Oreochromis niloticus: one gene and its partners. The protein of the gene in region 1 interacts with the protein of each later gene in a pairwise test. Links are inferred from orthologs where the notes say so. Each region holds a gene or a part of one and is shown on either strand. Other genes may lie near its edges.

Region 1 (10,774 bases):
AACCACACAGGGTCCAAAATATACACATACACCCTTTATATTTGGTTAAATGTCCTTTAGTAAGTTGTACCTTGTCAAGATACTTTTGGAAAACCATATTCAAAAAGCTTCTGGGATAATTCTAGCTGGACATTTGACCACTATTTTTAGCAGGTCTGGTAGAGATCATTTAAATTGTCACTGCTTTGGCACCAAGGTCCAGAAGATGACTCAAACTGTCACTTCAATTCTGCCAAGAAGAATTATGCCAGAAACTTGCTGATGGTTACCAAAAGCATCCTGATGAGGTGATTGATAGACAATGTGCTGAAGGACCATCCATCCATCCATCCATCCATCTCTTCCACTTATCTAATTCAGAGTCACAGGGGGGCTGGAGTGCATCCCAGTTGCCACAGGGCAGACACAGGGTACACTCTGGACAGGCTGCTAATCTGACTCAGGGCTAACACAGAGACACAAACAAGCATTCAAACTCACCCCTACAGGTAATTTAGAATCACCAATCAACCTAACCCCACTAACTGCATGTCTTTGGACTGTGGGAGAAAGCCGGAGAGCCATGCAAATACACCAAGAACATTCAAACTCCACACAGAAAGGTCCCGGTCAATTCAAAGGAATCATTTAAAGCCCAGACTTCCCATGACATTCATGCCCATGTTGAGTGGATGTTGAGGGGTAGCAGCAGTGCTGTAAGACTGTTAAAATGCTGTAGATTGAGATGAGTGATGTTTAAGATTATATAGGAATAAAAGTCAAAAACCAAATACGAAATTAGGTTCATGTTTTGTGTAATATTAGGTTGAATCAAGTTTGAATAAAGAGAGCACTTGAGGAACAGAGTAAGTTAGAGCCGTAGTAGGGAGAAGGTGTTTTCTATCCTTTACAGGAGAAGATTTCCACAAGAGAAGGACCCAGAAAAGGGACAGACCACTAGAGATTCACAAGTGTAAGGGGTCTCTCACCGGGTATGATTGGGTTCAGGGGTGAGGGAGGAGTGCTGATTGAGCTCTGCTCGCACTCTTATTCTCTCCTGCCCCTGATCAACTTTAGGCTCACTGATACTTTGGTGTGATTAACCTCAAGCATGAGTGTTCTCAAGTGGGAGCGGGCATTTTATTATTAAGACCACCTAGATGACATGGGGTTGTCTGGTTTGCTAAGTCACAGGATGCCAAGAGAGGGTCAGTGATCCTAAAGTCCACGACGTCAGGGGTGGACAGGGAAGCAGCTGAATGGGACAAGGAGTGATGCACCTGAAAGTATGGTGACCTCTGGTCAGCCAGAGGTCAAAAGGGGGAATGAGGGGTCCGACAAAATGCTTTTGCCATTATGTAATCTGTAGCTTCCACATAGTATGCTGATCAGTGTAATTTTCAATGATCAAACTGTAATAGAGACGAGCAAACATATTGGCAGAGCTGAGAAGGAGAAGCCTGTGTTATGAAAATGATTTTAATCTTTTATACATGATTGCATTTGAGCATATTAAAGAGCTGTGGCTCCTGGTCACGTGAAGGTCAGAAGTGTAACGGGTGAGATGTGAGAGCATTTAAGGGCGAGACACACATACAGACACAAATAGTGAGAGGTCATGACACGTACACAGTACACAGCACGCACGCGCCCCCGCACGTGCACACATACACACCATAATAGATCTATTTTGGTAGGGCAGAAGTGAAGATGTATTTTTGCTGCAAATGCAGAATTGTGCCGACGTACTTAGAGGAAGTGCAACAGATGTCCCAGGAGATAAGCGACAGCGAAGACGAGCTGAGGGGAAGCACCGACCCGAAGACAATGTACTTTAAACTATGTTAAAGTTCACGGAACATTTTGTGGTTTAGGCTGACGTATGCTGTATTAAATCTGCCTACCAACAGAAAAGGGGGCTGTACTATCTTAACCCTATAAAACTGTTGTCTGAATATGGTAAAGACAGTTCAATACTGATTGGGTTGTTGAACTCACACATGTGTTTATTAAAATACTGTCTAATTGCACACTGGACCGGATCTGTGGTTATTTATGGATTCCTCTCTCAACAATGAACCTTAACAATGTAAACTTCTGACCACAGCTGTATTTGATGGCAGGGACTTCCAGTAGGACCAGGCTTGATCTGAGATGTTGAGTTTAATTGCTCCATTTTATGTAATGCACCACTCCCCACTGTTACAAACGCCTTGGGTTTCAGAAAGCATTTTCTTTTACAGAACAAACATTGAACGTTTTCTTTCTCTAATATCTGTTTTTCTGTTGTTCTTCTAACCCGTCAGGTTTGCGAGTCCCAGCTGTTGTAGGCCGTTGGAGCCGTCCTTGGGGTAGTTGAGGAAGATCGATAGAGCAAAACGTCTTTCATACAGGCTGTTTCCTCTGATGACGCGCAGTTGGCCCAGAGGAATCTCTTGAAAGTGGTTCATAGCAATGAGGACATAGCCAGTCACCTCACGGATTCTCTAGAGTGAAGAAGACCATTAATATAAGAGGCAATATAAGAGGCTACTTCTACAATATACTCTCCACTTTTTAACGCTTTTTTTCAAATTTACCGACTGGAGGCCTGGAGAGTAAGGAAACATGACATTTACCTTGAGGAAGGAGAAGTCCCAGTTACTCTCAATCTGTGTGATCTCCAGGTTTCCCATTACAATCTCACAGCCATAATACCGGTTTCTAATCAGATTGTACTGGTTCTCCTGAGAGCCCGTGGAACTGAGTCCATTCTGCGTCCCTGGACACACTTCTAACACAGATAGGGAATAAAGATGAAAATGAACGTAAATAACACTGGGAAACTGAGTACTGTGGGCTGTGTTGTGTCTGTGGTATTTATAGGGTTGGTGACTCTCCCTGATGCTGTGTTCATGCCTGTGCTGGCTACAGATTTTGATGTGAAGCAGAGAGAAACAGGCAGGCTGTTACCCGCTTACATGGAGCAGTACAGGCCTGGGGCTGATGAAGAGGAGGCCAGGGGGGTCAGAAGAGAGAGTGACTTTTTTTTTCTTTTTTTTCCCCCTCAGACAAAGTGCTTCATTGTTGTAAAGCTATAAATGTGGACAGTGTGTCTCAGTGAGTGATGAGTGCTGCAGTGACAGACAGTGCTTCTGTGTATGCGTGTGCATGTGCGTCTGCAAGCCACGCATTGCTGAGATCATACCAAAAGACAATGGGCCGTGTGTGAATGGGACTCTCTGGCAGAGGGAAGGGAAATATCGTGAACGGAAGGTGACATACACACCATCTCTGAGTGCCCAGCAAGAAAACTGAGGAACTGGTCCTTTAATGTGCAAACGTTAGCCACCTGCAGCACTCACTCAACACAAGTCACATCTCTTGTCTTCGTTATGAACACATAACACACAGCTATAGGCCCCTGAAGACTGCTGCATAATAACAATGGAAAGTTACATGCTGACAAAGGACTGTTGCCTAATGCACACTTATATTCATACATGGCTCTTTTAAGCAAACACTGGCCCTGAATCATTCAGCTAATCTGGGAGGACTCAATAATATTCAACTCATACTTAGGATACTCAAAAACAGGCATTAGTACTTAAATTATTTGTTAATGTTTTGTATTTATAAAAACATTCATAAAACATTCATGAAAGGGCTCAGTGATCGGAAATTAGTAAATAAACAAAAGGTCCTGACAGGAAAGAAAAACAGTGTGATTGTTTGACAGCTATCTCAAAGGGAGATCTGAATGTTAGCAAAGACACATTAATGTCGTTGTAACTGCAGATAACCACATTAAATTTTATTAGAAAGAATTTAGTGACAGCGTGACAATCAGTTAATGGTAAATAGAGGTTCTTAAAGTGAATCTTTGCTGTTCTCTGCAGATTTTTACAGTGCAGTGCAAGGGCCTGGATAAGACCCTAATCATAACAATAAAAAAGCTTTTAAGGAAGAGTGGTGAGCTGTGAAGCAAACAATGGCATGGTGAGGTTTATCACTTTATACTACGAAAGCTTTAAGTGCATACAGTTAATTCTATTCTATTGCTAGAATTTGTCTGGTAATTGAGGTATTATCTAAATTTCACGAGATTCAAACTTAATGAAGACAGGATTTCAGATGTAGAATCACGTATATCCTCACCTTCATGCGTTTGAGATGATGTTCGAAGTCTCCAAGACAAAATCACTCCCAGTAAAATGACTCGCCACTGCTCCATGCTGATGTCCAGCCTGTTCACGGAGATCTATGCATATCACAGGGGTTTAGGTAGTCCTCCGAAGAGCCAATATGTATTGCAGGGAAAACTTTGACTAAAGAATATACAGTAGGGGGTGTAAAAGTTAAGAGTTAAGTCTCTATGAAAGGGAAAATCCGATCAAATCATGAGTCAAAGTGAAGGACAAGTGCAACTCCTTCAAAACACCTAATAAGACCGCAAACATCCCTCAGACTACTTGAAAAACTGAGAACAAGTTGTAGTTTATTGTGATGAGGGAATTTCCCTCCCAGATGGGGACGTGTGATTGGCCGATATCCCGACCAATCAGTGGTTTGTCCGTCATTTCGAGCTGAAGCCTCGGTTGTTACGCTAAAGCAAAGAATTTTGCTAAATTTATGAAGCCCTCGAGAAACGACTGACATAATACTGCTGACAGAAAGCTTAAAAAATTACAAACACGCGTGGCTAAAACACTATAATAACAAAAAAGCTAAATGACACACGAGTCACTGAGACAGACTCGGTTGACTAACAAGGACAGGTCGTTCAGTGTAGCATTTAACTGATTTTGGATGTGAATCTTTGCCGTGTGCAGCAGTGTGAACACCAGTTATTTTTGTTTCATGCTGTCAGCAGTGGAAGCAGCGTTTCGGTCCCCCCACCCAGTAAGAGCCCAGCGCTCTGAGTGGCCGCACTGTTTCCCCCCGTAAAGAGCAGTATTGTCCCCGCAGCCCTGTCAACTGGTTAATCACCTCTTTGATGCGTATGGAGCAGCCTGCCACAATGGCCACATTGTCAGACAGTCAAGTGACTTCTGAACCCAAAACAAGAACATGCTTAATTTGAGAAAATGGCCTCGGAGCAGACAAGATTCCTGAACACGGAGCTGCGGGTGAAAACGGGCCACTAATGGATGGAAATCATTAACCGCTTCTGACAGATGTACTGTTAATCTTATTTTTGAATGCGGCAGGGAGGGGAGAGCCGAACAATCCACAGTTTGTTTGCAAGCATCCATGTGCAGGAAATGGGAAGAATGGTGAGATTGAGATGAACTTGGATTTTAATGTTCGTCTCAACAACCTGATGGTAAAAGACGCCAAGAAATAACACCACAGCGCGGTTTATGTGTACAGTAATTAATGTCTTTGTTGTTCATCTGCCTGGACTTTAAAGCAGGAGTCTCAAATGCCCTACTCCAGCCTCTTTTTCTGTCCAGCAGGAGGAGCCAGAGTCTGACACTTAGGCGTCCTATTTCACAGCTGCTGCAGGGCCCTGTGGTGGGTAGACTCAGCGTTTGCACATGGATGGCTATTTTTACACTGTTTATTGGACATTTGATCCAATCTCTAATTTCTTATAATAAAATAATCAGCCTTTAATCCAGTCAGTCACTGAATAGTGGAAAACTTTGTGGGGAAAAAAACACCATTGCCCCAAAAATGTTGGAAGAAATCTTGAAGACTGAGTCAGTTGTTTTGTTTCATAAACAGCAGTCAGTGTGAAACTTTCCTGTTGCTGAGTAAAACGGTGAAAAGTGTAAGATTGTCACCAGATGCACTTTTTTTGTGCGTGTGTTCATTTTTCACATGAGAGTTTCTCTGTTTGTCCCGTCAAGATAGCTTTGATAGCAGCCTATAGTATTTACAGAGCTTGGCACTTTCACAACGCCACCATGGTGTCAAGTCTCTGTGTCAGCCCTGGTGGCCCTGTCCCTTCCAAGGGGAACTGTGAGGGGTGCCTGCTGTGGCCTTTTGGAGTTGCCACTCCCTTCAGAGATTGATGAATTGATTGTGGGGCTGCTGCCAGTGTGTCTGTGCCCTGGGCGAAGGTGTCCCGGTTACGAGTGGGAATCCCAGCTATGGCATCCGCCCTGGGGCCACTATTGTAGCGGTCCTGCAGGGGGCCAAGGGGGCTGGTGGCCCCGGGAGCAGCTCCGACTCACATACTGCTGTCACACCCTTGGAGACACAGCAGCACTCTCCCCTACATGGACCTCTGATTGGCTCAGACAAAATGACTCTCTGTGAAGTGCAGCAATTCCACAGGCAAACTACCTGATTGTGCCAAACTTCTCTTGATAACAGCAGTTAATAAAGGACAAAAGAAAGGCTGTGTAGAGCCAAATCCCACAGTTGTGTAATATGTGCTGTTAGTCTGATTTTAGTCTTAGCTGATGACTGGTACGGTAAACAGTTTACTGAGTTAAAACTGTTCTCGATCAACTCCCACTTCATTAAAAAAAACCCAGTCTAACTCACATTTAGATTTTTGACCTTTATTGTGCAGAGTGATACATGCGTCATAAGGGACGTCAAAGCTGTTTCCTATTAATCTGCTGAAAAGAACGTCCTTCTGGACTCACCTTAAATCAAAGTTCAACATGTGTAGGCATAAGAGGATATTGTGACATCACAACCAGTTTGGAGGCCAGATGTGGCCGCAACTTAAAACCTCCGGTGCACACATGAAATCAATTGAACATATATGTGTTGAGGCAACAGTTAAGAGTTTTTAAATATTTTACTGTTTATTATGGATTCATCAATGAAGGAGAAGTACAGTAAGGTCAATAATGTGTTGTGCAAAGACAGAGTTTTTGTAGTGTTGCCTCTGTACACCGCCACAGCAGATTTTAAATCAAACAGTCATGATGTGACTGACATGCACACACGCCTGCTCTTAAAGTGTGGTCTTGATCTGGTTAGATGCTGTGAAGCCGTTTTTCTTAACCATGGAAATAATTCTGTCATCATGCACTCCATTTGTCTTCGCTGGTCTTCCAGGCCTGTTGGGAGCTGCTGACTTGATCACTGCATTTATACTTCTTAAGAATGTTGCTTCAGCCATTCCTAATTATTTCATTATTGCTCTTATTTATTTGGGTTTTTCAAGCTAACTTGTCTCCCTCACTTGAAATGACATCTCTTATGAGCCTCATGTTTTAAAAATAACAATAAAAACTATAAAATAAAAATTCTACACTTTGAATCAACCTCAGACATTGTGTGTTTAATTTGTCCTTTGACTCAAAAATGACTGTACAGAAGCAAAACTACAAAAACAGTGTCTCTGTCCAACAAATTGAGGACCAAACTGTTTCAAGAAACCTAGCAGGGATCTTAAAAGGACACATCACCTCCAAATCAAATACAGTAGTTTGTGTGAGAACTGCCTTCGTTCTACCACACTGCACTCACCACCCACATCAAACATAGTGTTTTGGTGCTTTGAGCACCACAAGTATACTCTGTAGCTTCCTTTTATTCAAGCAGACAAACATCTTCAAAACTGGGCAACTTATCCAAGAACAATGATTGACAAATAATGACTCGCACATTTGATTCTGGGGCGAACTGTCAACTTGAAATTGAGTTTGAGCCACAGACAAGAGAAGATAAAGACAGCACGCTCGTAATCGTGCTGGGGTTTTCAAACCAACACGTGCGACGATAAACGATAGCAAGGAAAAAAATGAGCAAGGCAAAGCAAATGTATACTCTGGTCTTTTTATTTATTGATGTAGTCTCAGGAATAATTAAATCATTCAACACTTTTGCACCTGCTTAGGTTTTTCTGATTTTCTGTCTTAAATTTCCCCCTCTTCATATTATACTCTGTTTCTCTCTGAGAGCAAATCGCCAGCTGGAATGTCGTGCAGCCTCATTTAATATTTTTCTTTATTTGAAAGTTAAAATCTGAAAATAGTCACTGAAAGAGGGAGGGATGTTTAGCCACATCGGAACTGCTAGTGCATCGGTGTCACAGATCATAGGTGAGATACTTGAATGCTGGATATTTCTTACATATAAACCTGTTATCAAAGAGAAATGAAACCACTGGCTAAATAAGGCCACGAAAACAATTTTCACACCAAACCGAACGGAATATAATGCACGTCACACACGCACACACAAGCTGCTGTCAGTTATCTGCCAACACGCTGACCCCATTATCTACAGGTGTATCAACAGCGCTTTTGGTTTCACCCCGAAAACCACGGTTCCACTTTCCCGGTTACATCAACATATATACAGTTGCGCCAACATAGAAAAGCATGCTTTTGCATATTAGAAGGTTGTTCGGTAAACTTTACACTAAATCCATAACATTTATTAGTACAGCATTGTTCCAACCAGCAGCAATGATTAAGACTAACAAATATAGTCTGAGGAAACAGGCTATTATAATTCGCTTTTATTACAGATCTTGTACAGTATTAACATGCCTTACGATGCAGTATTACTATCATCCTCTCTCCTTATTTTATTATTTTTTTTGTGAACAAACTCCCCCCCAAAAAACCCCAAAACAAAAAAAATGCAACAGTCTGACCTAATTAGCTAATTAAGGAAAAAATAACTCAACAAAATAAAGAAACACCCCATTTAAAAAAAACAGACAACACCTTCTGTACAACAACAGTGAGTCTAGAGTAATTTTGTGCAACATGAAATAGCGAGACACGCATAATGTCATGCCAGTTAAGGGTGGATAAATCCGCATGAGAAGCGATGCTGCACAAACGGATTGAAAAATAAAAACAAAAATTTAAAACTATGTAAGCTCTCTTAATATTGCCAGTCACATGCTGTGCTGCATCACTCTCCACAGGGCAGGCCAATAGCAGCATTTTATTTTTCTGAGCCACAGAGCTGGTACAGAGTGCCTGTTCTGTCATCTGTATCACTTTAGATATCACACCTCGCTGATGCCAGACAAACTGTTTTAACCCCGTTTGTGCCAGGCAACTCAACTAGAACAAATCTTTATTTACAGCAGCGGCCTGTTACAAGCCCACGAGCCAGTACTGGGATATCTCCATGCAGATTGGGAAGCAGTAATGTACAGTGATACTGGGGTTTCTTGTCTTTTTCTTTTTTTTAACTAGCTGCCTTTAGCAGTAAATGCACATTAGAATAAAGGGAAAGAAACTATATGACGCAAAAAAAAAAAGTCAATAAATATTAATATTAAATATATTGTTTCAGACTGTCCAGAAAGTTGACACATTTTGTTTAATTCAGCATAAATAAAACTAAATCATAGCTAAAAGTTTTGATCTATGAAGAGCATAATTTGGTTGCAGTATGGACAGTTATATTACATTTATCTGTACGAGTATAATAGTAATAGTACTCCCACTATAATATTATGACATTCTTTGTAATTTACACCAGGTCTGTAGTTTCTGAGGGAAGGCTGCTCTGCCATCACGATTTGAGATCCATCACAATTGCTGAGCTAATTAAATGTTGGTGGAGGTCTGCAAAGTAGAGCAAATCCATATACCTTTACAGTAATATTATACAGTACATAATTATTTGTTTATAGATTGTAAAAAACTTAGATAAAGTTTGCTTGTAAATGATTAAAAATGCTCACCACAGATTCAAACAAATCAAATTAATCAAAGAACGGAAAAAAAATAAAGAAGTATTTCGAGGGTGGATGGTGGGGAGGAGATGGTGGGAGGGGAGAAAGCCACTGAGAGTCACCCCCTGGGAGCTTTTCAGCATTTTTCCTCTCTATGTAAACACAATGGAACCCCTATAACCACAACCTGGAGCTGGCACCCAGGCTCTTCCCCACTTTACTGACCCGGCCCTTCACTTTTTGTTCTTCAGCTGATTGGCCAGCCAGTCCAGACCCTCGTACAGGCCGTCCCCACTGGTGGCACAGGTGGCTTGAATGTACCAGTTGCGGTGACGTAAGGAGTGCAGGCCCAGCTTGTCTGTGATCTCTGCGGCGTTCATGGCATTGGGCAGGTCCTGAACAAAATCACAGAGGACAAAGTGTCCGTCAGGAAGTTGGTGAGGCAAGAGGCGTAAAAGCAGGGGGAAACGTAATGTGGCGCATACCTGTTTGTTGGCAAAGACTAGAAGAACAGCATCCCTCAGCTCGTCTTCAGCCAGCATCCGCATCAGCTCCTCTCGAGCTTCGTTGACCCGCTCGCGGTCATTGCTGTCCACCACAAAGATCAAACCTGCAGGAATAAGTTTAAACCGAACAAAAACAATCAGGTCACATCACATTGTTAGAAAAGCATATTGCCAAAGCATGTTTAATGGTTGTCCGGGATTTGAACATGACTAAGATGATGATAATTTGAAACAGCTGGAGCCTGTATGCAAATGACATCATCTGAAGGATTAGTCAGATTTTGTCCTCAGGTGCTGGGGGCGAGCGTGTGCTCCAGGATCTGCAACAGGACTGGAGAGGCCTTTTTAAAAAAAAAAACTCTAACCATGCCGGCTGGTCTTTCACCTAAGATGCTTTTGATGCATCTCACCCTGGGTGTTCTGGAAGTAGTGTCTCCAAAGAGGACGGATCTTGTCCTGGCCACCCACGTCCCACACAGTGAAGCTGATGTTCTTGTATTCCACTGTCTCTACATTGAAACCTGGGGTGGATGGGACAACAAGCAAATAGAAAATGGGTCACATAATCTGGACAATCTCTAAGACGCAGGGTTTTTTTTTATTTAGAGGCAGACAGTCACACACCAATTGTGGGGATGGTAGTGACGATCTCCCCCAGCTTCAACTTGTACAGGATGGTGGTTTTCCCTGCAGCGTC
Region 2 (10,602 bases), about 15 Mb from region 1:
GCACCAAGGCTGTGTTATAATTTCCCACAAAACTGTAAAAAAACAGTAAGGCATTCTCTGATGGAGAGTTGATCAAAGACTGTTTAATGTTTTAAATGGCACAAACTACATGATTATATAATTATTTAAAATTTGAATCCTAATTTCCCTTTGTTGGCACACGTGGCTGCTGGTCCATACGATGCCCAGATCTGATCTGGGAGCAGATCTCTACACTTGGCACTCATCTGAATCCCTCTGGGGATTTATTTGAACAGTTCTCTTGAAGAATTATATAAATTAACTTTAATTTCAAAGTAACCTGGATCTTTTTAAAAAAAAAAAAGCTTCTATAAAATCATTATTCAAACCTGATTCGAAAGAAACGGCTAAAAGTTTTTGGACTTTGACCCTGAAATGCATACTTCTCCCACCATCTTTGCTGTTACTCAGTTCTCCTATAGTTTTCAGATTCTTTAAGTAAAGCATTAAAGTGCTTTGATTGGTCAGTAAGACGAAAAGAGTTACATATTGACATCAGTGTAAAATGTATCGATTATAACTGCGAGGTTAAAGTTCTGGATCTTTGTCTCTGGTTACCGTAGCGATGGGGCTTTTTGGACTGGGGGCTGGTTGGTTCCTGCTCCATACTTTTTTTTTTTTTTTTTTTTTTTTTAGATGTTTCTCACGTGACATCATGCATATAATGCTTGTGAGTGGTCCAACATGTTGGACTGGATACAAGCACTGATAGCAAAGGAAAAATGTGTATTCCTGGACTGGTTGGCAAGTGATTCCTGGGCTTTGAGTAGTCAGTAAGATTAGAAAATACTTTATAAATACAGGTATATATGAAAGAAAGGCATAATGGGTCACCTTTAACAAGGGATTCAAATTGATGGTGAACTGCTAACTCGTCCTGATTGTTAAAGATTGGCGAGAGATGTTCATTATTGCTGTACTAATGATGCTGTTTACTCTGCATATGTTCTCTGAGCAGAAGATGCTTCGGGTCAAGGATGAGGAGATGAGTCGCAGCGGGGCCAGGGGGCGGAGCCTGTCGAGAAAAGGGCCAGGGCATCACACTGAGGAGGAGGAAGATGACGAGGAGGAGGGTTTCAGTGAGAGCGAGCTGGAGCTGTACGAGCAATACAAAGCTGCCGGATACAGAGACCTGGTCAGTGTGTGCAGGTGTTTCCAACCAATCAGCTGCCAGACAGGCACTTCCTGTGTGCGTGACACATCTTCGTGTTGCAGGTGTGGCACAGTGAAGAGGATGATGCTCAGTCCGACTCTCTGAGGAAGAAGGCGGTGAAGGTGAAACACGTGAAGAGACACGAGAAGAAACCAGAGAAGAAGGTGAGGGCGGTTAGATCACCTGACCACAGATGTCACTGATGATGTCACTAACATACCTGTCCACCTGCAGAAGTCCGTGTCTGTTCCGAAAGAGGAGGTGAAGCCTCGACGCCACAAAGTGAAGCAGCGTCACAGAGAGCGTGTGCGGCACAGTGAGCGAGCAGGAGAGGGTGGAGTCAAAGAAGTAAGCGGAGGTTTGAGGCAGTGTCTGGGTCCAGGATGCATCGAGCCGGCGAGGGCCAACTCCAAATACTGCTCTGAGGAGTGCGGCATGAAGCTCGCCGCCAAGTGAGTCTGAGATCATCTAAATGTTCATGTGAACACAACACGGGCTGACACGGCGACCCCGCCAGAGAATTTTAGAACTGCTGAATTTAGAAAGTTTGTATCAAGATTCCTTTTAGACACAAGTTATAACGGCGAAGTCACTTACCGTATCTAATTGGACCGTTGAGTCCATTAAACCTTTTTACACGTGAAAAAAGAAGTGCATACTATTTGCTCCAAACACAATGTTGCAGGTTATTTCTGAAATACAAAACTCCTTTGGTCATCTTTCCAGAGGTGAAACATGTTCATTGCTGTCATTGATTGTTTTTTTTCTGTTCAGTCACTTTGCTGTGCAGCAGCTCTGAGAAGGTGAGAGGACTTGCCTAATGTGAATTTGACTGGCTTCCCATTCTTCTCACACAATTCCAAACAGCATCCAGCTCAGCTGCTTAGCATAGATCGGACTATTTAAGAGCATGTTTTGCTCACCGCTTTGGTTTTGGTGGTGATATCATCACATATACCGCTGCAGTAAACGATAGGTGTTGCCACTCAGAGAAAACCTCTGCATCATCACTGATGAAGAGGAGAAGTTGAACCAAAAGGGAAGAAACTGCCAAGATTTTTTTCTCCAAGGTTTTCTCCAGAGTCTCATGAAGCTGTTGCAGCATCTCCTCGCTGTATAATCTGATACTCTGTGCTTCTGCACTGAGGTAAAAAAGATTGGCGGTAAAAACCACCAAAATTGTGCATGACCGCCCGAGATGATAGCAAAATATGATTTGTGCCAGCACTTCTAGTGCCGTGAATTAGGTGCCGTGTACACCCTATTACTGTGTACTCTGGGGTTTCACCCAGGACCTCAAACTTATGCAGAAAGCAAACATCAAATTCTCTGTTAACTTGGTGTACATTGGTTTCTCAAAAACAGTACATGTTTCTGAAATCTGTTGGTTCTTTGACGCCTCGTCTCTGTCTCTCAGTCGCATCTATGAGATCCTGCCTCAGAGGATCCAGCAGTGGCAGCAGAGTCCCTGCATTGCCGAGGAGATTGGACGCAGACAGCTGGAGCGGATCAGGAAAGAGCAGCAGGCGGCGAGGATGCGTCTCACGATGATGGAGAAACGCTTCCATGAGCTAGAAGGCATCATCGCCAACGCCAAACTTCAGCAAGTCCAGCAGCACGAGGAGGTATGTGGCAACCGCAGCCACCCAGTGCACTCCGCTGTTAGTGTGATCAGCTGTTAGTTGGTCTCATCTGCGTCTCTGTTTGTCTCTGCAGGTGACTGAGGGTGACGGTGACGACACAGACTTTCAGATCTTCTGTGTTTCCTGCAGTCACCCCGTCAATCCAAAGGTGGCTCTGCGTCATATGGAGCGATGCTACGCTAAGGTTAGCTTAAAGAAACAGGAAGTGTGTCCACCTGGGGTCTGAACTGGTTATGAATTACAACTGCCTTAATGAGGTGATCAAACAGGAAGGTACTAACAGCAATGTGGCAACAAAGGCCACAATAAGCCAGTGAAATGACCTTTAGCAAATTCACCCAATGCTGCTGTTCAAATCTTCTGTTTAAAAGAGCTACTCTTCTGGAGTTTAATAATAAATGAGGATAATAAGTTCTCCCTAAAAGATTATTGATGTAACCTAGCACCCCTGAGGTCCTCCTGATTTAACAACATTGGTCTGAGTCTGCACATTAAGTCAGAATATTAGCAGGCATATGGTGGTTATGGCACAACAACTAGTTTTACATCCCCTAACATGACAGTCAGCTGTTCTGAGGTAAAATGTGGGTAATGTAGTCATCAACTTGATTTAAAAGGAAGACTGTTTAATCTGATCTTTCTGTTTCTTTGTCCGACAGTATGAGAGTCAAACATCGTTTGGTTCCATGTATCCAACACGCATAGAGGGGTAAGACCGTGCATCTGTCCGTCCCTCCTGTCTTTACCCGTCTCTCTGTTTGTGTCTCATCTCTCTCTCTGTGTCTCTCAGAGCCACCAGGTTATTCTGCGATGTCTACAATCCTCAAAGTAAGACGTACTGTAAGCGGCTGCAGGTTTTATGTCCTGAACACTCCAGAGATCCAAAGGTTTGTTTATGTCTACAGAAAACAACTTATGACTCGATCAAGGCTTTAATTCGCTGCTTTTTTCCTCGCTTGCTTAAACTCAATGGAGAACTTTTTATTTTTATTTTAGCAAATGTCTGTCGGGCTCTAAAATATTATGTTGGTGTGCTCTTACAAAACTTATCAGCTGTGGATATTTAAAAAATGTTTCTGTTCACGTTAACTTACTGTCTCAAGTCTTTAAAGGACTTAACATCAGAATTTGGATGATACATAAGTTTTAATGTGGCATGTGGTCCTGAGTCTGGACTCAGAGTCCGGAGAAGGGTACAAAGTCAGGACTAGCTGGTCCTGGACTCTGGTCCTGACTTTGGGCTCAGAGACTCAGAGTCAGGCAGTCAGGCCTGACTGTTTCCAGACTCTGGAGTCTTTGGTCCTGACTCTGGAAACAGTCAGGCAGAGTCTGGATCTGACTCTGGACTAGCTGATCCTGACTGGATCGTTGGTCCTGACTGGACTAGCTGGTCCTAACTCTGGGCTAGGTGGTCCTGACTCTTGTTCTGGCTCTGGACTGGCTGGTTCTGATTCTGAACTGGCTGATCCTGACTCTTGCTCTGAGTGCAGGATCAGCTAGTCCTGACTCTTGTTCTGACTCTGGACTCACCGGTCCTGACTACGCTAGCTGATCCTGACTCTGGACTAGCTGATCCCGAGTCTGGTCCTGGCTCTGGACTCAAAGTCAGGCAGACATTTTCCTGACTCTTTGTTATTGACTCCCTGTTGCAGGTCCCAGCAGACGAGGTGTGCGGATGTCCTCTGGTCAAAGACGTGTTTGAGCCCACCGGCGAGTTCTGTCGGGTGTCTAAGAGGAAGTGCAACAAGCATTACTGCTGGGAGAAACTTCGCCGCGCCGAAGTCGACCTGGAGAGAGTCCGAGTGGTATCTCTATTCATACAAACTTTATTTAGTGCCTCGTCATTAACATTAAGACACACCTGGATGTTTCTAACTCTCTCTTTGTCTCTGTCAGTGGTATAAACTGGACGAGCTGTTCGAGCAGGAGAGGAATCTGAGGACCGCCATGACCAACCGAGCCGGTTTATTGGCTCTGATGTTGCACCAGACCATCCAGCATGACCCAATCACCACCGACCTGCGCTCTGCCAAGGACAGGTAGACAGGTGACGTCAGGCAGACGTTTTCCTGGATGAGTTTAATGCTCGTTTGCAATTTTATTGTGGAAATTTGTGGGAAGGTGAGTCAGAGCAACGTTTCATTCACCAGTGAACAAAAAACAAGAGAGATTTGATTCTGACTCCAGCCTCATTCAAACTCAGACCTCATCTGATTTTAGGAAGTCAAACCGTTTTTATATTTCATATTCACACTACTAATGTAGGAAACCTGAGCTCTTACAATCCATGGATGAACACTCAAATAAACCTTCTGCTTAGGTAACACTGCAATGTCTGCTGGATCTCAGCTTAGCTTTGTGGGCAGTTGTATCCTCACTGTTAGTTTTAATAAGTTGGGGATGACTGGACACACAAATATGATCACATTTGATCCTGAATGAGCCATAATGTCTAAAGAGGTGCTCATGTGTCCTCCTCCTACTGGAAAGCTGCTCTCATTCAGTTTAACCTACAAGTATTACACTACCCACATCCGACCAATCTGAAATGTGACTGTGCTTTGGAAATGTCTTAAGGTTGATGATGAAACACTACATGTTCACTAAAGATGCACACATTTTATAAATCTCGAAGTCATCTTGTTACAAGTCATTCCTCCTTGTTTCTTTTTACAATGTGAGCCTGTTGCAGTTTAAATAAAAATTGTGTAAATATCAGTTTAAACTTTCCCCCATGGGATCATCAAAAAAAAGTAAGCATAGAAGAAAAAAAAATGCTAGCCATAAAAAGATGGATTCTGTGACTTGATTGACTCTTGCTTCAGTCTAAGTGAATAAACAGTCAATGGGGTAAGCATAGGGAAATTACTTTTAAGCACAAAGAGCTGAAGTCAAGTGAAATTAATTAAATAAATAAATAAAATGAAATGTCCTGATAAAGAACTCTTGTTTGTATATTGATGAAAGTCAAACTTTTCTGTGTGACATTAATTTCCCTCTGAGAGGAAACCCTTCATTTCGATCTCAGTGTCTCCTTTTTTATATCTGTTTTTATCCTCAGTGTTATCAGTATGTTGTTATTTGTTAAAAATGTTTCAATAAAGTTTGATATCTCATTATTTGTGCTGATTCTGAGCTTTTCTGTTCTTCGAGTGAATGCCAGTGCTGCACCAATTTACTTTAAACTGCACCACAACAATAAACTGGCTACCCAACATGCTTTTTTTAATAGACCAGTAAAATTTCATACATGCAACATAAAGCAGAGAATTCATGAGAAAGATATGAAATCTAGAATTGATTGTAATTAAATTCAGTTTTATTTTATTTTATGTTATTAGGCAGAAGGAAAAAAAACTATACATCATTGTCATTTTTAGTGTGAATAAACGGCCATAGTATAATATTAGGAAAGACATAGTATTATTATTAAAATTAAACAGCAAAAAGGAAAAAAAAATTGTAAAACAACAGAACAAAAACCCAACCATAATAATACAACCTACATTTTGAAGACGCTATTTGTTTTAAGCACATATGACTCTATAAAGATTAAGAGAAAAGCTCGCGACATCGATCTCTAACGTTTTTTAGTTTTAAATTATTAAAAAAGTCCCGGCGCGCGCCACACCCCTGGCTACGCTGCTCGGTGACGTCAAACGCCTCCGACGGTAGCGGTGTACGGTTGGCGCTCAGCGGCTCGGAAACAAACAGTACACTTCCTGGTCGTCCCGGTTCCGGAGGCTGCAGCGGGTCTTCAGACGGATTTTGACCTGGTTTCAGGGTGTGGATGTTTTCGGCTGACTGTGAGTCCCAGTTTATCCGCTCAGTCTGGGTGTTTCATACTAAGAACAAGCTAGCAGGAGGCTAACAGTCTCTGCTGCTTCACTATTTACACCGAGAGAGGATGACCCCGGTCCCGGTCCTGGCCACGATCATGATCTTAGAAAAAGCATTTATGCATCAACGTGAAACTGAGCTGAAGGTGTGACAGATATATTAAAATATATTAAATAATTAAAATAATTAAATAATAATTAAATAATTCTAAACAAATATGAAAAACAAGAAACATAGTTCAGTTCAACTATATATGCATCCATAACTTACAGTAGTAGTCATTTTTTTAAGGTCAACAATAATAACAGAGAGAAACCAATGAATGAATTGATCAGGACTTGGCGACAGTAGGAAGAAGAAAAGCTACTCTGAAATCAGAAGATACCACTGCGCAGGCTGAAGGGATGAGAAGAGCTTAGAGAGACAAAAACCTGCATAAACAGAAGCAGACTGGTATCTTTTTCAAAGAATGTCTAGGAAGACATTCTTTGAAAATAACACAATCACTCCTGGAGAAGGAGATGATGCTTGAGGAATGGAGAAGAAGTGTACTGGTACAGATTTTCTAGAGCAAGGGTGATGTGCAGAGCTGAGTAACTACAGATAGATAAAGTTGATGAGTGTGAGAATAAAGATATGGGAAAGAGCTGTTGAAGTTAGGTTAAGGAGCAGCAGTATGGATCATGCTGAGAAAGAGCTTGGCAGATGTGATGTTTGCTTTGAGAGTGTTGATAGAGAAGTATAGAGAAAATCAGAAGGAGCTTCACTGTGTCTTCGTGGATCTAGAGAAAGTTTATTACATGGTACCCAGAGAGGAAGTCAGGAGTAGTGGGGAAGCATGTGAGGGTGGCGTGACAGTGATGGGTTCAAGGTGAGAGTGGGATTACATCAGGGATCAGCTCTGAGCCCCTTCTTGTTTGCAATTATGGTGAAAACAGTTTTAAGTAATCAGAAAAGTGGCCGGCTTATAAAGCTGGTCTCCTGAGTTCCCAGATGTTTACAGAGTGTAGTTTAAAAAAAAAAAAAAAAAAAAAAAAGGTGACGAAACTCTTCAGTCTCAAATTCAAAGTGAGCAGAGAGATTTAAGTAAACAAAAAGTCTTCTCAGTTTCAGCATACTTGGTTCTGTGCTATTTGAGGTTAATTAAAGGATTTAATTAGTTTGGATTCTCATTCACACATTACACAGTCGTGACTCCTCTGTAACGAGGCTTGTTGTGGCTCGCAGGTGTGAAGGTTCTTCTTCATGTGTCTTTGTTATTTTTGATTCAGGTCGATCTGCGTGGATCAGTGATGCAGTCGGGGTCAGATCCTCCAGGACATGGACCGAAGCCAGTTAGAAGATCTCCTCGTCTGTCCCCTCAGGTCAGTCATCCGACACAGTGATACACCTGGTTTTAACCTTCACCTCCTTTTAAACCTTTTTGCCGCTCAGCCATAAAAGGCTGACGGGGTGTTGTCATCACCCTGCCAGGTGGACGCACAATGTGGATACTCAAGTTTGTGAATGCGATAACTCGAGAATGAAGGAGCTTCAAATTGATGCCATGTGTATATCTACAAAAAATCTCAGACAAGTTTGAATCTTTGTGACCTCGACCACATAGTCAAGGTCAGAGGTCAAGTTTACTCAAAATCCTATGGACGCGATAACTTGAAAACAAGGTGACATACAGTAGGATTTTGTAATTGATGCCGTAGGTGCATCTACTAGGAGGCTGAGAGGTAGCATTGGTTGCTACCATTATTCATTTTCAATATTAGATTAGTCATTTACTCTGCAGTCACTCTTTGCGGATTCCTAGTTAGCAAAAAGTGATCAACATGCCGTATGCCGCATGTCTGAGAGCGGCCAGCCTGGGTTCAAATCCAACCTGCCCTTTGCAGCACGTCTCCCCCTCTCTTTTTCCCTCTGCTTTCCTGTTAGTCTTCACTGTATCTGCCCAATAAAGCCAGAAAAAGGTAGAAAAATATATATTAAAAAAAAAAAAAAGTAATCTACAACAAAGTAAGCAAACTTTATAGTTTGATCAGTATGGCCTTTAGTATGTAGATCGGGGGTTGTATTAAAAGTGTGAAGGTTTGTTAGTTGCAGCTTTAACTTGACTGGGTTATTTTAGTGACTTAAATGAGTGAGTTTGGATCTATTCATGTCTAACACCTATACTGTTTTCTCTGTCTGTGGCAGATATTATAAAATGTTCTCATGTCAGTGACTGATTTTCAGTCATTTTAATGCAGAAAGGATTTTAAAAAATGTATGAACAAAATTGCATTTATTGAGACAATCCTCATCTGTCACTCCTCATAAAACACATTTTATTTGTTTCAATAATGCTAAAATGAAGAGAAAGAATAATATTGTAACAGTTACAGTCAGTAGATTAGACAGGCGACCCTCCTTTCTCCATACGGAGCTAGAAATGAGTAGTATAGTTCCTCTTTAGGGTTAAAGTGATAAGCTCGATTTAACTCGTTTTTATCAGTGTTACTATTTATAATGTGTTAAAGTTTACAGGTTGGCTTTAGCTGAGTTCGAATTATTGACGAGTAAAAGTGGGCGAGGCAATCATTCATTTATCTGAGGTGAACTTTTATCTCAGATTGTCGTGCCTCTCCTTCGATTCTGCACTCAGTTTCATGTGAACACCTGAGTGTTTGGATCTGTTGTCAGTCTGCTTTCGTAACACCAGACAGAAACAGCCGACCCTTTTATTTTCTTCTTCTTCAGCTTTTCCTCTTTTAGTTATTTGAACTCTTCTTCTTCTGTTTCTTTGCGTCACGTTGGAGCGCTTGTGATTTAACCCTACAGCGTATCAATTTGCTTCAGTCGCAGCAGAGAGGTGGGCTTCAGCTGCTCCTGTTTATGTTTGCAGGTCGGCAGCAGTGAGGGAACACAGGAGAGCAAAGGAGGAAACAGCCTGCAGGAGCTGAAGAGGAGAGGAAGGATGGAGAGGACCAGAGAGGAGCAAGAAGAGGAGCTGAGTGGCAAATTGAAGACACTGGTGAGATTTGCACTCTGTTTAATATTTGAAAAGGTTAGCATGCACCTTGGATCTGCAGTGTTTGGAACAGAGGTGAGATCTCTGTGCTGGATCCTCAGGCCATCTCTGACCTTTCCACCAGTGTCAGTTACACCTGTGAAGGTGTTTTAAGGTTTTAAACCAAACCCTAAAGATGGACATAATAAAGTAGAGATAAGTAATGAAATAATATAAGCCTCCAGAAGCTCTTATGAGGAGACAGAACGGTGTTCCCAGCCCAGCTGAGAGACTTCATGTCATGTCCTGGGTCTGCTCTGGTTCCATCAGAAACTGTGAGAGACAAAGTGTTTGTTTGGTGTGACCTGCTGTGAGACTGTCAGGTGGTAATAGGTGGGGGTGAATAGGACTGTCTCTGCAAGTCATAAGCTAGATGTATACCTGACATGGGCACTTTTGCATCCTGAAACAGCACATTATCATATTTGATCAAAAATGAAGTTTTATTTGTTTATTTTTTCTGTGTGTGTGTGTGTGTGTGTGTGTGTGTGTGTGTGTGTAGGATCTGTCCAGCAGATCGGCAGCCAGTGGAACGGGTCTCGTTTACTCTGAGATCTTCACCCACCATAAGAATGAGTGGGACCCGAGGTACCCAACACCTCAGACGGGGGCTGTGCAGTTAAATCAGATTTTAATTACAGTTACATTTTTGAATGACATTGATCAGTAAAAGACAATAATTGAGTTTAAACGATTATTGTTTTATATTTTGTTTCGGTTCCTTTCAAAATTCAGTCCACACCAGGCTTCAGCATGTTCAGTTCGATTTTTGTTGTTTTTGATTTGTTTTGTTTTTTTTCCAGTGAAATATTCGTTCATGTTTACAGATACATTGTTGAAACTGAAGCTGTCAATAAGTGACTTAAGTTTAATAAGTAATAATTGTGATTTCTGCTGTAGTCTGA
Region 3 (10,607 bases), on another chromosome or scaffold:
TCCTGATAATTGCCCTTTGGTTAAAGGCCAAAATCTTTGGAATTTGCCAATGGTTTTGGGCACTGGTGTTCATTAAAAATAAATACCAGCATAGGTAATTTGTACGCCACAGACTGATGTCACCCAAAGTCTGATGTCTCCATGGCTACTCAGGCTTGGAGTGGCAGCTGAGTGGTTGTCATAGCAACAGTGGTAGTGGTCAGACATGACTGCACATGAACTGCCACATGTATGTCTGTCTGAACATTCATGTAGTCCATCAAGGTGACCAAAACACAGAGGCGGAATTTGCTCTGATTTACTAGGCCAAAATATTTTTCCCCCACTGGTTTCTGTTTGAGGCGCCCCAGAAAAACCACCACTCTCAGCTTCAGGCAAGGAGGATAGCTTTAACAAGTTAACTCAATTTAACAGTCAGCTGCTGATAGGATCCACGCAGGGTGAGATTAGCTCGTCAAATGCAGACCACAGGCTTAACACAGTGAACTATTACTAATGTCTTACAGCTCTCTCTCCTGACTCGATGACATGAAAGGTACAGTGTGTGATATAATGGCCAATCTACCTTTAGAAGTCAGCATCACCTTACTAAACTACTGTACTGTTGTTTTGTGTGGGAAAATGACATGATGATAATATTAGGCTGATAGGAAATGCAGCATGGTAGCAGTGTAGCTTGCTGTAGAGGTGTTGTACCATGCTGAGGAGCTGATGAGGGGAAATTAAGGTAAAAAGTAAAAGCCTGAATGGGATATTAGCACATGACAATATCCCACTGCTGCATCCTGTCTTTCGATGGACACAACTAAAGTAGTGGAGTTAGGAAACAAAAACTTAACCCAACAACTATACTGTAATGCAACATATTTAGGGGGAGCATGGAAGTCATCAACTTCAAAGCTAACTCAATAAAGGAAACACCTTAGTGCTGCTGAATTAATCTTCTGAACTGACATGGCTGCATTACCACCTCAAAAGTAACCATTGGCCATATTTCTTTCCCAAAGTATTCACTTTTCTTTTTAATTTTATTTGTGTTCAGATTTAAATTCCTATCCTCTACCTGGAGAAATTTGCTATATGTTGTATGAACTAAGTAAAATCCATTCTAATAGAATAGAATAGAATAGAATAGAATAGAATAGAATGCCTTTATCGTAACTATACGGTTGTACAATGAGATCTGAGATCTGAAGACTGACAGTAGTTCCAGGGCATCATGAATTGAACTTTTGCAAATTATGTTCATGTTTGGAAAGGAAGATTATTCAGGGTATGCCAACAATTTGTGACTGATAAGTTGTTAAATGTTTGTCACTGTCAGATTTACCAAAATATCAAGATGGCAATGGCAAATAGTTGAAGCTTGAGGCATCATAATTTAACTTCACTAATCAGTGGGTAACTTCAAGAAAGCTATGACCTCCTTAGATCACAATACCAAAAACAAATTATAAGACACATATAGCTAGTCAATATTAAAAAAAAAACTGAGCTGTGACTGTTATAGTTTAAGTCTACAATTGAGTCCATCTCTGAAGAGAAAATCCACAACATACAGACATGTAAATGCTCAGTTTCTACTAATGTGCTTATATGAATCATCTTTTTGCTAGTACCCATTAGCCACATCCACATTTAATGATTTTATAAAGAAGGCAGTGAACAGCTGGTATAACACACTGTTCTCAGTTATGATTAAAAAGAAAAAACAACTTTACCTCAACCTTGACTTTTTTTTTTTAAACAAATTTGACAACTGGAACACACAGATCCCCCTCTCTTTGATGACTCATCTTTGAAGCTGTCAATTTCCCAGAACAAGTGTTCTTTGAACAGATGATGGGGATGTCAGTCCAGACCAAAGAGGTTGAAAGTACATGTGTCATGTCATACTGGACTGCAAGTGGTTTCTCTGCAATATACTGTGCTGTGAAAAAGTGTTTGCCCCCCCCTCTTCCTGATTTCTTATTTTTGCATTTTTGTCTCACACGTTTCAGATCATCAAACTTATAATATCAGACAAAGATAACCCGGTTAAATACAATGATGATTCTATTTATTAAGGGAAAAAAAAATACTGAGACCTACCTGACCCTTTCTATGTGTGAAAGTAATTGCCCCCTAAACCTATTAGCTGGTTGTGCCAGCATTGGCACCAATAACTGGCAATGAGGCTTTTGCTGTGGAGGAATTTTGTCCCACTCTTCTTTGCAGAATTGTTTTAATTCAGCAACACCAGAGGGATTCAAGTCTGGGCTTTAGCTAGGCGACATCAAAACCTATATTTTCTCTGGGTTTTTTGAGACGTTCAGAGGTGGACTTGCTGGTGTGTTTTGGATCATTGTCCACATCCTGAAGCAACAAACAACCCCAGAAGTCGTTTTCTTATTGTTGAATCATGATCTCTGACTTTACAGAGTGAGTAAAGTGAGCTGCAATTCTGTTCTGGGTTATTTTGTGACGACCTTGATGAGACACTGATGTGCACTTGGAGTAATTTTGGTCGAAAGCCACTGGGAATCTTCACCACTGTTTAAAGTTTTCTCCATTTGTGGATAATGGCTGCTAGGTTCCCAAAGTTTTAGAAAGGGCTTTGAAGCACTTTCCAGACTGACAGATGCCAGTGAGTTTGTTTTTCTGCTGTTTATTGAGTTTCTTTAGATCGTACCATGATGTGTTGCCTTTTGAGCTCTTTTAGCCTACTTCACTTTGTCAGACAGGTTCTATTTAAGTGGTTTCTTGATTCAACAGGTCTGGCAGTAATCAGGCCTAGGTGTGGCTATTTGAAATTGAACTCAGCTTTCCCAAAAAAAAAAATTGGTTAATCACAGTTACCTTATAATCACTTATTTTTTCCACCAGGTATGCCAGGTATGTTTTGTTAGTTTTTAAAAAAAAACAAAAAAACATAATAATTTATTTTAAAAGTAATATATTTCCTCAGGTTAGCTTTGGCTAATATTAAAATTTGTCTCATGATCTGAAACATGTAAATGTGAAAAATGGGTTAAAAAAAATTAAGAAATCAGAAAGGGAGCAAATACTTTTGCATTGCACGGTATATATATGTACCTCTGTTTTCTCATCATTTCTCAACTCTCAGAAGTGGCGAAATGATGAGGGACTATAAACAAGTATAAACGAGTATTTAAGCATGCACTAAAACCACTTTCAGTTCCTTTGGGATACATTATAAAAGCACGTGCACAGCATTTACATAACCCCACAAGCTGATTCAAGAATCTTAAACAATACTATCACCCTGTTCTGAGACATAAGCACAAACACAAATTAATCTGTCAGCTATTCAAGGCTTGCCACTACATCTGCGTGTGAACCCTTTCAGTTCACACTAAGACAACCACATGGGTATAGATAAAGGCCTTCGGACAAGCCCATGCACCCAGTGCAGTCATAGGCTAAAAGAGCATGGCTATTGCAGGAGTTCACATCAAGGTGCCAACACAAACATGCCACTGATGCTGCTGCCATTTCTGGAATACACCGTCACACAAACACACTGCCACACACACCAACAACCCAATAAAAGTACCCACAACAAGGCAATAAAACAAGTTAATCCCTGTACTGGAGCTTCATAGGAGCAAATGGGAATCGAAAACATGGACGAGCTTAAAATAAAGCTAGACTCTACTTTACTAACTAATTGTTAGTAAACAATACGTCTAAAACAAAAGCTAGCTTTATGCTAATCAGCAACCAGAATAAGCTACACATTAAAACCAGTTCCACGTAACTCGCACCTGTTGCAAATACTCATGAATCAGATTAAAAATAAATTTACTGGAGAAAAACTGTCGACACATGCCATAAGCAAATAAAGACAAACCAAACCTTCTCGGATCACATGGATAGACCCATGGATAATCATTAATCCGCCAGCAGCGTGACGCTGATAACCCATTTGAATATTGACAAGTGCGTGAAACGCTACAATTAATGTGAAAATCACCTGAATGGAGCTCGGGCGTGTTAGTAAGTGTAGCTACACCGGCGTCAACGACAACATCGTACTCTCTGTCCCAATAAATACATATAAATAACAGTACTTTGAGATCCTGAAGTAAAATCAAGCCAATTCTCGATTCTCTTTACCTAAAACAGAGGCCACTTACACTGCTAGCTAACCAGCTAGCGAAGTTCACAGTTGTCAAAGTGTTTGTCTAACGTTACACGTTAGCGGGTCGCTAGCCAGTGTAGATTCGTTGCTCATTCCGAGTACCAAGTGTTACTTACTGCGTATGAAAGGAATCTCTCTCACTCTCACTCTCCCTCTATCAGCCCCTCTTCTCGTGATCACGGTAGATATGCTAAGACACCCAGCCTTGTTGTGATAGGCTTAGCAGTCCTTAATATTAGCCACTTTCGCTTCTCGGCCCCTGTTCGTCAGTTAGCTTTGAGTAAGCTAGCCAGCGTTTCACACGACCAGTTCTCCTTTCAACATGTCTCTGCATCGACGTAAGGCTTTTACATACATGTTTGGCACTGTAAAACCAGGGAGCGCCAAATATATCGCTCTTACTTAGGCTGTCGGTTCAAAAGAAAATACGCTTGGTTCGGCAGGATTTATCTATAATTGAACACCTAGCTAATTTTTGCTAAAGCTAAATGTAAAAAGGTAGATGACGTTCTTTTTCAGCATCCAGTTTTTGGGAGGGGCAAGACTATCGCTCTCTTCTGTGATTGGATAAAAACTGATTCGAAGCTGAGATACGATTGGTCAACTAATGTACCAGTCAATTTGTTTCTCTAAAAACATAAACTGTGAAAATCCAGCTGTTTTCTTTTATTTGCCTTTGGTGAGATTATGTGATTTATAATTTCTCCTCCGTTCATATGCTGTTTTCAGAAGAGAGGTGCCTGCGTGCCATAAATAGCACAGTTGGGAAGTAATTAATAAAAACAGTGCAACACCCCATTTAGTTGTTGCCAGTTCCATTGCCAAATGGGGACAAATGGAGTAAAGAGAATTAATCCTTTAGTTACAATATTGATGGGACTTACAGAGCTGTGGAAAGTATCAGTGTTACCAGTTACCTAATCACAGCCACAGGTCAAGCAACACATGGCACTCCCCAAAGGCTGTGCCCACCCCTAGCAGGACAGTGCACAACACCGCCCTGCAAAAAGCACTAGGTTCTGACCTGCATACAAACTACCAAGATTGCAAGTCTATGGAGGCTTCTCCTCACCATGCACAAGAACTAAAGGATCTAAACATCCAGTTGCCAAACAGAACACCCATGGGATCTGGAGTCCATACACTAACTGATCCAAACTCTTTTGGCAACATACAGGACATCTTTACGGCATTAGACATGTGGCTTTAATATTGTGGCCAAGTGAGACATTGGTAATTGCACCTTGAGGAAATCTAGGAAGAAATGGACTGAAGGTTGTCTTTTAGAACCATAACTCAAATGTGTGAGGCAAAATGGTTACCTAGACTATGGAAATTTACATTCTAAGTAGTAAATTCAGTCATTTGTTACCCACTGTGCTATGGATCACATAGTGAAAGTTTTTTAAATCCACTGCAAATTAATATCACAGCAACTTTTTGGGTTGCTAAGTTGTAAAAACTATCTTCCAGTTATCTTCCATGTAAAAAATTATCAGTCTTCAGATTGACGATTCCTCCAAGCCATTAAGTAAATATTAGTAAGAAATTTCCATAAGCAAACATTAGTTACCTCCAGACCTAATGTTCTGAAAACATTAAAGGCAATCAATTCATCAAGCCATGGTTATTAATATTAATAAGCTAGATATAATCATAGACATTATAATATATTATTTGCTTAAGTAAGTAAAGTTTATTTCCCAATAACAAACAGTGAGCAAAGTGTCATGATAGAGGAGGAATTTCTACAATATGGCAACCAAAAAGCTGTTACTACTTACTTAGAGCCACCCATGTTATTCTGCGTATCCAATTCAGGGTTGCAGGATGGGGCTGGAGCCTAATCCTGTTGTCATACAGGGTACACCTTGGACCGTGGCAGGACTAACACAGAGTAATTACTTATAATTCATCTATAAAATATTTGTAAATGAATCAGTCATAAACAAATGACTGTCACTTTGTAGATGTTGCCCCAACGTAAAGTGTAACCACTTTATTTACATACTGTGTAAATAACCATATTCACATATGAAGCTTCTCTTCAACTAAAATAAATGTAAGACCACAGGTAACTACATGATAGCATGATAGAGTGAAAGTTGTTAATATATGTTAATATGCTATAATATTGATCTATATGCATTGGCGATAATACAGAGTGAAGGTTAACTTTCAGCCTAATTAAATAATAAGTTGAACTTTATTTGTTGAAACAAAATTGCATCCATTATCACGCCCAGTGATTCAAGCGACTAGTTTACCGTGCCTGTGATGGGCGGATGTGTTTTAGGGCGTGCTTGCTGACGAGCCTCAGCCCATTGGGCCCAGCTCTATGAGCCCAAACAGGCATGGTGGCTGTGGAGGGTCTTATTAATTTAAATAAATTGCTGAGTTGCTCTTAGAAGATATTGTTGAGGCAGTGGTGCTTTTATGATGACCTGCAATTAAATTAGTTTGTTCTTATTTAATGTGGAGGTGAATTTAACATTCATTTTCAAATGAAAACATAAACACTCCTTCCTCTCTTTCGCAGTATATACTGTGCTCAACATGACGTCATCACGTTGGTGCCTTTCTGTCTCTCTGTGCATTTCTAAGTTATTGGGAACACTTAAAGTATCCCATCAATAATATATATGACAATTTAGTGTGTATGTCAGAGATTTCCCACTGGCAGCAAAAGTTTTTCCTGTAGTTTATGCAAAATTTTAGAGCAAGTTTAAAATATGCATGTAAGGAAAGCTGGTTTTTCTTTAAGGTACTCTGTACTGTGTTACTTATAAACTCAGAATAGGTATACCATCACTAGTCTTCCACAAAAAAAGAAGACAAACAACATGTTTCCAAACAATGTAATCTTATCTTATAAAACAAATTAGTTAAAGAAAATTTGTGCGTAAACAGGACCTTAATCTATCCGAGAGTGATAAGAGGTCTGTTTATTATGTGAAATAATTGTTCATAAGATTTGTAGCAATTTTTTTCAACACAATCCAAATGGAGTAATTTTATTATTATTATTTAATGTTTTCTTGATTCTGCATTATTTAATGTGTTTAAGCTTGTTATTTCATTTCATTTCATTCTGGTTGCGTAAAAATAATAAAGTCAATTAATTAGTTTTAACCAGAAAATTTTACAGTTCAGTTTGGATTTGCAGCCTTATTGGCAAATCTTGTGTTATATCACATCTATTATACAGTGCATTGTACAGTGCATAAGCTGTTAGCTATCCAGCTGCTTATATGTAAATACAAACCCAATTCCAAAAAAGCCTGGAATGACATGTAAAATGTCAATAAAAACAAAATTTAGTGATTTTCAAATCTCATAACTCCACATTTTATTCACAGTAGAACACATAAAGCACATCAAATGTTTAAACTGATATACTTTTTTGATTTCATGGAAAACATTGGCATGTTTTGAATTTGATGGAAGCAACAAATCTCAAAAAAGTTGGGATGAGGGCAGGAGGTGGCTGGAAAAAAATGCTGGAAAACTAAGTGGAGGAACTGAAGAAGAAACATTTCGCAACTATTTACGTTAAGTGGGAACACATGTAAGTAATCACAAGTAATACCAGTAATATCTGTTTTTTAAAATTGGATATCTCAAAAAAGAGCATCACAAAGAGGCAGAATTTCTCAGAAGTAAAGATGGTCAGAGGGTAACAAGTCTGCAAAAAACTGAGTGTATACATTTCTGGAGAATTTCTGAATAATGTCCCTCAATATAAAAGGGACAAGACCAAAAATCAATATTAGATGTTCATGTTCTTCAGGCAGTCAGGCAGCACTGCATTAAGAACAAGCATGGAAATCACAGCATGGGCTCAGTAACACTTCCTCCAATCAAGGTCATTGAATGCAGTTCGTCTTGCCATCTATCAAGCAAAGAAGAAGCCATGGGTGACCATGATCCTGCAATCCTGGCATTTTCTCCAGATCAAGGGGCATTCAAATGTTCTGAGGCACAATGGAAAAGTGTTCTGTGGTCAGACAAATCAAAATTTAAATTCTTTTTTGGAAAACATGGACACATCCTCCAGACTAAAGAGGACAGGAACCATCTGGCTTTTTATTAGTGCTCACTTAAAAAGCCCCCACCCCCAATTCTGCAATCCAGGTCCTGAATTGGCCTGCAGACAGTTCAGACTTTTCATCGATTAAAAACATTTAATGCATCATGATAGTATGAATACAATAAAAATATGATGAAGAAGACTCATGACTACTAGTCCCTTATGAGACCAGAATGGGACAACATTCCTCTCCTTTCAGTTCCCAGATGTTTACAGTCTGCTGTTAACAGAAGCCCATGTTTACCACGGCTACACAGTAGTAAACATAGTCTTGCCCCAACTTTTTTGAGACATGTTACTACCAAATTCAAAATGAGTTAATGTCTTTCTTAGAATGGTACATTTTCTCAGCTTAAACATTTGATACTTTTTCTATTGTGATACGATTCTATTGTGAATAACATTTGAGGTTCGCAAATTATTGTATGTTGTTTTTTATTTAGATTTTACACAGCAACCCAAAATATTGGAATTCAGGTTATATTTTGCACATATCATCCTTCCATCCATCCATCCATCCATCCATCCATCGGGGGTTTAGGTTGAAGGAGGCCACAAGCTGGAGGGTCTTCTTTTCTTTTTTTAATACTGAATCTTCTTTATCATATTTTTTCAGCATGGATCGATTCAGTGCGAGTTAGCTGAGATAACATTGAGTTAAGTGCTGCTTGCATGTATATTGTGAAGGAAAAGAAAACAACTAGCTTTGGCCTTCACTGCTTTCTCTCACCTTGTATGAAATCACCCCATGTGCGATCCTCTCTGCAGAGTGCAGCAATCACGCCTTGCCTTGCTCACCACTCTTCAAACACAAGAGCACTTGAAAAGCTGATTTCCTGCTCCTCAGAGGGAACAGGTTTCTTTTGTCAACCGAGGAGCCAGGTCAAAACAATAATTGCTGGCAAATTGTGCCTGAAAATATACAACGCTCATTTGATTTACATGTCATTTTCATGACTCTCCGCTCCAGTTCTCCTTAACAGCTTGCAATGTTACATTAGGGCCTTATCAAATGTTTATAAGGGCAATCAATTTCTTTTCCTGGATGCACTGTATCAAGTGTCTGGGTTTGTTTGTGTGAGAGAAAAAGAATATACACTGCAACCACACACTCGCCCATACATATTAATGCATGTTATGTGAGGGGTCAAGCTGTTCCCCCTGCTTAATGGGATTATAGACATTAACAAACTCTTTACTAAATGAGAGAGGACCTTTTTCTTTCTCTTTGTCTCTCATTCCCGCTCTATACCATTTCACTCTGTCCTCTCTTTCTCTCTCTCTGATCCCTAATCAGGAAGTAGGCCTAGAAGTGCCTTGGGGCTGAATACGAACGAGCGCAGCTGCCCGGTGCGGATTACTACTACCACACACAGGCTTAACCTCGATGTATAAATTCACACACGCATGCCCGTGTAGTGAAAACAGTGTTCATATGTCATTCGCAAGCATGCCCAGCACTTGCTGACATATGTGTTTTTCAAGCATATGTCATACTGTGAAAGTATCTCACACATGCACGGGAAAGATACACACAGAAACTATTTTGATCACATGCCGATAACGTCCAGTAGCAGACACATGCTTGGACACACCCACAGGTTTTAGTGTATCACAGGAACATGTCCATTCATAGCTTGTATAGTAGTGTTAGAGGGCATGTGCTGCAGCCATATGTTGCCATTAATCATTTGAATCAGCCTTCTTTAAGAAAGATAGAAAGAAAGAAAGGGAACAGCTTAGTTAAATGTCAGCATGATAAAAGTTGGTAAACGTATAAGCAGTACTGGACTGTTGCACCTATAGAAAAAAAATAGTAGGCTAGGAGTTTTTTATGTCTTGTAATATATTTATTCTCATATGAAGTACTCATACCACGTGTCCTTATGTGTTTTTTGTGCAAGACACAAGAGAGCTTGTTCAGTTATTTATTTATTTAGTTACATTGTATTTTTTCCATAGGTTAAATGTCTAAAATTCATGCATTTCATACCCCAGTATCCCTATACATTTGTAATATGTAAATAGGTTCATATTTAAGTGTTCAATTTACTCTGTTGTGGAAAACATGGTCCCTGTGTCTTTCTCCAGTTGATTTTGAATATTTTAATTTATGACCTGGGAGATTTCATGTGTTAAAGACTGAGCAGCTATAGCAAAGTGAAATGGCATTAACACCATGCTCAGTGGCAAATCAAAAGCTTGTTCTACAGGAACATTAAGCCACAGATTTACTACCCTGCACAGGTTTAACCTGCCAGTCTGGAACTGAAGCGGAAACCTGCAAACATCAAACTATACTGACCTACAGATCCTCACAATACAGAATCTTCAGTATTTAACTCTACAGAGGTTGACCTGAGTTTGTAAATT

The links.
Region 2: the proteins of erbb3b (region 1) and hdac6 interact in a protein complementation assay, tested with the Homo sapiens proteins (2 studies listed by BioGRID and IntAct, with this or other methods). The link is inferred for Oreochromis niloticus from reciprocal best matches to the Homo sapiens genes ERBB3 and HDAC6.
Region 3: the proteins of erbb3b (region 1) and ppm1ba interact in a two-hybrid assay, tested with the Homo sapiens proteins (2 studies listed by BioGRID and IntAct, with this or other methods). The link is inferred for Oreochromis niloticus from reciprocal best matches to the Homo sapiens genes ERBB3 and PPM1B.

What each region holds. Positions count from the first base shown.
Region 1 is NC_031984.2:19,602,297-19,613,070, forward strand, and holds the start of erbb3b (receptor tyrosine-protein kinase erbB-3b), read right to left. Parts: upstream 4,728-10,774; 5' UTR 4,193-4,727; coding exon 4,117-4,192; intron 2,753-4,116; coding exon 2,598-2,752; intron 2,466-2,597; coding exon 2,279-2,465; intron 1-2,278. Other genes in the region: arf3a (ADP-ribosylation factor 3a), read right to left, coding at 9,805-9,966, 10,057-10,181, 10,488-10,598, 10,702-10,774. UniProt on the Homo sapiens protein: Tyrosine-protein kinase that plays an essential role as cell surface receptor for neuregulins.
Region 2 is NC_031984.2:4,905,104-4,915,705, reverse strand, and holds the start of hdac6 (histone deacetylase 6), read left to right. Parts: upstream 1-6,670; 5' UTR 6,671-6,724; coding exon 6,725-6,802; intron 6,803-7,928; coding exon 7,929-8,021; intron 8,022-9,532; coding exon 9,533-9,661; intron 9,662-10,199; coding exon 10,200-10,285; intron 10,286-10,602. Other genes in the region: cxxc1a (CXXC-type zinc finger protein 1a), read left to right, coding at 980-1,156, 1,237-1,338, 1,409-1,626, 2,592-2,799, 2,891-3,001, 3,477-3,526, 3,608-3,704, 4,470-4,622 and 1 more.
Region 3 is NC_031978.2:11,092,370-11,102,976, forward strand, and holds the start of ppm1ba (protein phosphatase 1B), read right to left. Parts: upstream 4,693-10,607; 5' UTR 4,547-4,692; exon of another isoform or gene 4,261-4,546; intron 4,251-4,260; exon of another isoform or gene 4,120-4,250; intron 1-4,119.